Linked DNA regions of Xenopus tropicalis. The protein of the gene in region 2 interacts with the protein of the main gene of each other region in a pairwise test. Links are inferred from orthologs where the notes say so. Each region holds a gene or a part of one and is shown on either strand. Other genes may lie near its edges. The genes, in order: rras2 and rin1.

What was found.
Region 1: the proteins of rin1 (region 2) and rras2 interact in binary tests that used the Homo sapiens proteins (3 or more experiments, as listed by UniProt). The link is inferred for Xenopus tropicalis from reciprocal best matches to the Homo sapiens genes RIN1 and RRAS2.

Annotation. Positions count from the first base shown.
Region 1 is NC_030680.2:3,481,726-3,485,540, reverse strand, and holds part of rras2 (ras-related protein R-Ras2), read right to left. Parts: intron 3,789-3,815; coding exon 3,701-3,788; intron 3,583-3,700; coding exon 3,480-3,582; intron 548-3,479; coding exon 439-547; intron 352-438; coding exon 233-351; intron 1-232. UniProt on the Homo sapiens protein: GTP-binding protein with GTPase activity, involved in the regulation of MAPK signaling pathway and thereby controlling multiple cellular processes. Regulates craniofacial development.
Region 2 is NC_030680.2:38,274,306-38,278,120, reverse strand, and holds part of rin1 (ras and Rab interactor 1), read right to left. Parts: intron 3,315-3,815; coding exon 3,137-3,314; intron 2,693-3,136; coding exon 2,578-2,692; intron 1,458-2,577; coding exon 1,385-1,457; intron 1-1,384. UniProt on the Homo sapiens protein: Ras effector protein, which may serve as an inhibitory modulator of neuronal plasticity in aversive memory formation. Can affect Ras signaling at different levels. First, by competing with RAF1 protein for binding to activated Ras.

The DNA.
Region 1 (3,815 bases), about 35 Mb from region 2:
AAATATACAGAGAGGGAATGTTCTGGGCACACAATAAGCTGTACCCCCATACTGTACTGTCTAAGGGAAACACTATGGCACCCCCTACCCATATGTATAAATACAAATATACAGAGAAGGAATGTTCTGGGCACACAATAAGCTGTACCCCCATACTGTACTGTCTAAGGGGAACACTATGGCACCCCCTACCCATATGTATAACACACAGAGTAAAGATGGCGCCACTCACCTTACAACTCTAACAAGTTCATGAAATGCTTGGTCTACATTCATTCTGATTTTGGCCGAAGCCTCCATGTAGGTGACTTTCAGCTGCCGCGCCAACTGCTGCCCCTCCTCCCGCGTTACCTGGAACATCCCAAAAGATGAGTTTAATCACAGCCAACACCTCCTCTATCATTTACCCCCACTGCCCCCCCCGCCATAACTACTTACCTGCCTCTGGTGCTCCAAGTCAGCCTTGTTACCAACCAGAATCATGGGAAATTCATCCCGGTCCTTTACCCGCAGGATCTGTCTTTGGAATTTGTAGATTTCTTCAAAACTACAAAAAAAAAAATTAGAAACAGAATAAAAATTCCCTCCCCCTCTCACTCCTGCACCCTAGTATCCCCTCCCCTCTCACTCCTGCACCCTACTATCCCCTCCCCTCTCACTCCTGCACCCTAGTATCCCCTCCCCTCTCACTCCTGCACCCTACTATCCCCTCCCCTCTCACTCCTGCACCCTAGTATCCCCTCCCCTCTCACTCCTGCACCCTAGTATCCCCTCCCCTGTCACTCCTGCACCCTACCCCCCCCCCCTACTATCCCCTCCCCTCTCACTCCTGCACCCTAGTATCCCCTCCCCTCTCACTCCTGCACCCTAGTATCCCCTCCCCTCTCACTCCTGCACCCTAGTATCCCCTCCCTCTCACTCCTGCACCCTAGTATCCCCTCCCCTCTCACTCCTGCACCCTACTATCCCCTCCCCTCTCACTCCTGCACCCTAGTATCCCCTCCCCTCTCACTCCTGCACCCTAGTATCCCCTCCCCTCTCACTCCTGCACCCTACTATCCCCTCCCCTCTCACTCCTGCACCCTAGTATCCCCTCCCCTCTCACTCCTGCACCCTAGTATCCCCTCCCCTCTCACTCCTGCACCCTAGTATCCCCTCCCCTCTCACTCCTGCACCCTAGTATCCCCTCCCCTCTCACTCCTGCACCCTAGTATCCCCTCCCCTCTCACTCCTGCACCCTAGTATCCCCTCCCTCTCACTCCTGCACCCTAGTATCCCCTCCCCTCTCACTCCTGCACCCTAGTATCCCCTCCCTCTCACTCCTGCACCCTAGTATCCCCTCCCCTCTCACTCCTGCACCCTAGTATCCCCTCCCCTCTCACTCCTGCACCCCAGTATCCCCTCCCCTCTCACTCCTGCACCCCAGTATCCCCTCTCACTCCTGCACCCCAGTATCCCCTCCCCTCTCACTCCTGCACCCAGTATCCCCTCCCCTCTCACTCCTGCACCCTAGTATCCCCTCCCCTCTCACTCCTGCACCCTAGTATCCCCTCCCCTCTCACTCCTGCACCCTAGTATCCCCTCCCCTCTCACTCCTGCACCCTAGTATCCCCTCCCCTCTCACTCCTGCACCCTAGTATCCCCTCCCCTCTCACTCCTGCACCCTAGTATCCCCTCCCCTCTCACTCCTGCACCCTAGTATCCCCTCCCCTCTCACTCCTGCACCCCAGTATCCCCTCCCCTCTCACTCCTGCACCCCAGTATCCCCTCTCACTCCTGCACCCCAGTATCCCCTCCCCTCTCACTCCTGCACCCCAGTATCCCCTCCCCTCTCACTCCTGCACCCTAGTATCCCCTCCCCTCTCACTCCTGCACCCTAGTATCCCCTCCCCTCTCACTCCTGCACCCTACTATCCCCTCCCCTCTCACTCCTGCACCCTAGTATCCCCTCCCCTCTCACTCCTGCACCCTACTATCCCCTCCCCTCTCACTCCTGCACCCTACTATCCCCTCCCCTCTCACTCCTGCACCCTAGTATCCCCTCCCCTCTCACTCCTGCACCCTAGTATCCCCTCCCCTCTCACTCCTGCACCCTACTATCCCCTCCCCTCTCACTCCTGCACCCTACTATCCCCTCCCCTCTCACTCCTGCACCCTACTATCCCCTCCCCTCTCACTCCTGCACCCTAGTATCCCCTCCCCTCTCACTCCTGCACCCTACTATCCCCTCCCCTCTCACTCCTGCACCCTAGTATCCCCTCCCCTCTCACTCCTGCACCCTAGTATCCCCTCCCCTCTCACTCCTGCACCCTACTATCCCCTCCCCTCTCACTCCTGCACCCTACTATCCCCTCCCCTCTCACTCCTGCACCCTACTATCCCCTCCCCTCTCACTCCTGCACCCTACTATCCCCTCCCCTCTCACTCCTGCACCCTAGTATCCCCTCCCCTCTCACTCCTGCACCCTAGTATCCCCTCCCCTCTCACTCCTGCACCCTAGTATCCCCTCCCCTCTCACTCCTGCACCCTACTATCCCCTCCCCTCTCACTCCTGCACCTAGTATCCCCTCCCCTCTCACTCCTGCACCCTAGTATCCCCTCCCCTCTCACTCCTGCACCCTACTATCCCCTCCCCTCTCACTCCTGCACCCTACTATCCCCTCCCCTCTCACTCCTGCACCCTACTATCCCCTCCCCTCTCACTCCTGCACCCTACTATCCCCTCCCCTCTCACTCCTGCACCCTAGTATCCCCTCCCCTCTCACTCCTGCACCCTACTATCCCCTCCCCTCTCACTCCTGCACCCTAGTATCCCCTCCCCTCTCACTCCTGCACCCTAGTATCCCCTCCCCTCTCACTCCTGCACCCTACTATCCCCTCCCCTCTCACTCCTGCACCCTACTATCCCCTCCCCTCTCACTCCTGCACCCTACTATCCCCTCCCCTCTCACTCCTGCACCCTACTATCCCCTCCCCTCTCACTCCTGCACCCTAGTATCCCCTCCCCTCTCACTCCTGCACCCTAGTATCCCCTCCCCTCTCACTCCTGCACCCTACTATCCCCTCCCCTCTCACTCCTGCACCCTACTATCCCCTCCCCTCTCACTCCTGCACCCTACTATCCCCTCCCCTCTCACTCCTGCACCCTACTATCCCCTCCCCTCTCACTCCTGCACCCTAGTATCCCCTCCCCTCTCACTCCTGCACCCTACTATCCCCTCCCCTCTCACTCCTGCACCCTAGTATCCCCTCCCCTCTCACTCCTGCACCCTAGTATCCCCTCCCCTCTCACTCCTGCACCCTAGTATCCCCTCCCCTCTCACTCCTGCACCCTAGTATCCCCTTCCCATTTTATTCCTGCTCATACACTTCTGTATCCCAAGACCCACCATGGATGTGTAGGGATGTAGCACCCTCAGAACCTGTACAAGACCCAGGAAGCAGCAACTGAAAGAATAACGAGGTGCAATCTGTCTCACCTTCCCCTGTCTGTGACCGAAAATACCAGCAGGAACCCCTCTCCTGTCCTCATGTACTGCTCCCTCATTGCCCCGAACTCCTCCTGCCCCGCAGTGTCCAGAACTGGAAAAGAACAAAGGAGATGGTACATAAATATCCCAGCATCCTCTGCAAACCCATCCCTGCCCCTCTACTGGGGCTGCCACAGACAGTACAGCAGGGGGGCGTAGCTTATACTCACTATCCAATCGCGCTGCTCGGTCGTCTATGACACATTGCTTGGTGTAGGAATCTTCAATCGTTGGGTCATAATCCGTCACAAAATACGACTGAGAAACAAAGGGCAGAGAATTTCC
Region 2 (3,815 bases):
TACAAAGATAGTAAAAAGAATTTAAAAAATATAAAGAAAAGAAATAGGATACAGGGTAAATAATGTACTTGAATTGTACAAAAGTTATATAGTTATATAGTAGCAAAGTTATATGGTAACAAAGAAAAGTAAAATGGAAGTGCTATGCAACAAAATCATTAGTATCCACACAAAATAGGTAAAGGCTACATCAAGACTCATTGAAAATGACTTGTGTTCTGGGCATCTGTAGAGAGGAGTGGCACATATCCTTCCCTTATTTATAAGCAAACACTCCAGACCCAGGCAGATAAGTTATTATTCAGCAGACTTGCTTAATCCAACATTTTTCTCATGGTAGCATGTTGGGCCAAAGCATGTATGCTGAATAAAAATTCATTTATCAACTTGGCATGCTGTCTAACATAGAATGCACCAAAAAGACTAGTGCCTTGGCAGACTTCACTAAAGTCTTAGCCATCATATAGTGGGCTTTGTATTTTATACTAGTCTACACTTTATAGTAAACACAGGATTTACATTGTGCATTTGCTATGGCAGCACACACACTTGCTATTGCTTTAACTTCTATAACCATTATTGGATCTTTAATTCTGACCCCCATGTGGGAGTTCTGTTGTGTATGTTAGCAATACCTGATTCAAATATTTAAGTTAGGTGTTTTTTCAATCTGACCTGTGTGTTCAGGACCAAAAAAAAAATCAAGTCGCTGACTAACAGGTTAGAGAGATGCAAAGGAAGAGTTATGTTCTGGCTATTACGTTAAAAATCTGCTCACTCCAACCTTTATAGATTACATTTTTGGCTAAATAACTATATTGAAAACATTTTTTATTTGCCTGGTTTTATTTTTACACTGAACTGTTTCTGTAAATCCCCAGTCTGAAAGTTTGAAAAACAATAATAGGAGTCTCTTATTATTCCAAGTGCAGTAAGTTTCCCACAAAAAAAAACATTTATTAAAGGTAGTCAGCCAACAAGTGCTCCTTGTGCTTCTGTATAGTTGTGCTTAGTGCTGTTGCCTTCCTCCTGCTTCCTGTTCTGAATTGCAGGCAGTTGCATGTATTGGTGTAGGAAAACCAAACCAGTTGGTAGCTTCAGGCTTCCCACAGCAGCCCGTGTCAATCTCCGCAGTCTAACAGACTCAAGGTGGCCATACACAGCCAATTTCAGCTGCTGATATCGGTCCTCTAGATATATATTATGATAGTCTAATAAAATGATTTATCAATGACTTATCAATGCGGACACTTGTCATTATAATGGGCTGGTGCACTCTTTGTTATACTAAACATTACTAAATACTGTTTATCCAAACAACATCGGTGATTGCTCCCCCTAATTATAAATGCAAGAAAACGAGAAACTCATTCCCCAGACTCACTTTTCACTGCTGTAGTGAGCTACAAGCCTTATCAGATCAGGGAAAGTGAGCTCTGACTCTTCCAGATAAATGCCTACAGAGATAGAAAACAATGCATTTAATTAGATACATCATCACAGGTCACGAAAATGCATAAGTAATGTTTATTTATGAGTCATGCTTTAAAGGTAGGTGTATTTTTCTCTGCAACATAACAAAGAGCCAGGATTAACATATAAGAAATATCCTTATAAATGGTGCTTAGTGATATTACCATTTATAGTCAATGCTTACGGATGTTTTGTGTCACATGGCTGATTATGAATTATAAAAATATTGTACCTATAGGATATTAGAAGTCAGCTCACAGTTCCATGACATGTATAAAAACAGGCCTTTATATGGAACTGGAACACCTTTTAGCTGGTGTATTATTTCCTGTATACCTGAAATATGCATGCCCAAGTCTATATGTGTGCTTGTTCATTTATACATGTGTAAGGTGTGTGGGTTTTATTATTAGTATTACTCCTCAATTGCAGGGGTCTCCAACCGTTTTTACAAGTAAGCCTTATTCAAATGTAAAAAAAAAATAATGGGAAGTGATAAAAACATGAAAAATATTCCTGTGGGTGCCAAATAAGGACTGTGATTTGCTATTTGGTAGCCCCTATGTGGACTTGCAACCTACAGGAGGCTCTGTTTGGCAGTACAACTGGTTCAAGCACCTGTTTGACACCACTGGGAGCAACATCCAATGGGGAGCAAGCGTGCCCCCCCCAGTCAGGGTCGGACTGGGGGGTGCAGGGCCCACCGGGGCTCCCGCAGGTGCCCCAGCCGCGTCCCCTAACCCCCCAAGGGGCCCCCCTAACCCCCCCACAGGGCCCCCACCTGACGTCCTCCCCGAGCGCATATAAATTGAACGCGTCAGTAGGGGGAGCGCCGGCAAAGGTCGGACTGGGCCTCCGGGGCCCACTAGGGCTGGGGCCCACCGGGATTTTTCCCGGTGTCCCGGCGGCCCAGTCCGACCCTGCCCCCAGTCACTGACTAACTAAGTTCTGGTCATATAAGACATCTGGTCACTTCATCCTTAATAGATTACATTTTTGCCTAACTAACTATATTAGAAATATTTTTTATTTTGCAATGTCTATCCATTTTACCCAGTTTCATTTTTACACTGAACTGTTGATTTAAGTGTTCCACATGCCTACCTGCAGGGCTTTTGTGTATATATGCCTGATGAATGAAGCTTGGACCAGAATCATCTGACAGTCTCACACATAAAACCATCTTCTGGCGAGTATTGGACTTTCTCACTAGGAATGTCTGTAAGATAAAGACATGTTTGATCATGAAGAAGATATCAAATTTTCAGTCAGGTTCTGTATATTATTCTCGGTACAAATATGTCTGAAGTACCTCTTTCTGTACGATTAACGAAATTATTATTGGTAGGGCCTGGATGCAGGACATGCGCAAGGTTCCAATAGGGCCTGAGGGGGTTTGGGCAGGGGTGCAATCCCTGGTAACTCAACCACTATTTTGTACTTAAATAGATTTCAACTTTGATTTTTACATGCCTGTTTATAGGACTGCTCATTGAGTGCTTGCTCTCACCCATACGGTTGTTTCTGCGCCCCTAGGTAGGGCTTAGGCGGTGCACCTGAGCCTCCCCTCGACTGTGGTGAGTTCGGGACTACTTTATTTATTCCTGGTATCTCAAATACCTTAAAGCAGCCCCTTTAACATCTATTTCTGTAAATTACCTACCCCTGGAGGCTCCCTTTGCAATATATGCAGTGCAGTTGCCGAGTTGACTGTGCGGTGGAGCCAAACACTTTGGGTGAGTAGCAGTCTGTCTGTGATGCTGACTGATGTTGGCGACCCCTTGCGGATTGGAGTTGGAGAGGATTCCTGATATGGGAAATCATATACCGGTTCAGTCATCCTGCAGGAACAGAAAGATCACAGTTTATAGATGTACTGTATATTGGGCCCTAGCAACCAGATAGCTGCTGAAATTCTAAACTTGAGAGCTACTAATTAAAAAAAGCGAAATAATCCAAAAACAAACTTGCAGCAATAAATAAATACATTAATAAACAATAAAAAATAAGACCAAGTGCAAATATCATTGTGTGTGAAAAGTGAATATAAAGGTGAACAACATCCAGTACCATTAAGTGCAATGCGTTTTAGCTTTTTTTGGTTATATGCTGCAGGCCTCCCTTGGGCAGCTTTTTCCTGGTACACATTCAACTTCCTTTTAAAATCCATTAGTCCAGGCCCTTCTTTATGCTTGTGATACAAATTGAGGATCTATGCCCAGAATGCTTGGAACTTAGGGTTTCCAGATGAGGGGTCTTTCTGTAACTTAGAGCACCTTTCCTAAAAGCTACAAAACATTAAAACATTAAAAGAAAGCAACAGCTTTGTTTTGCCAGCAACA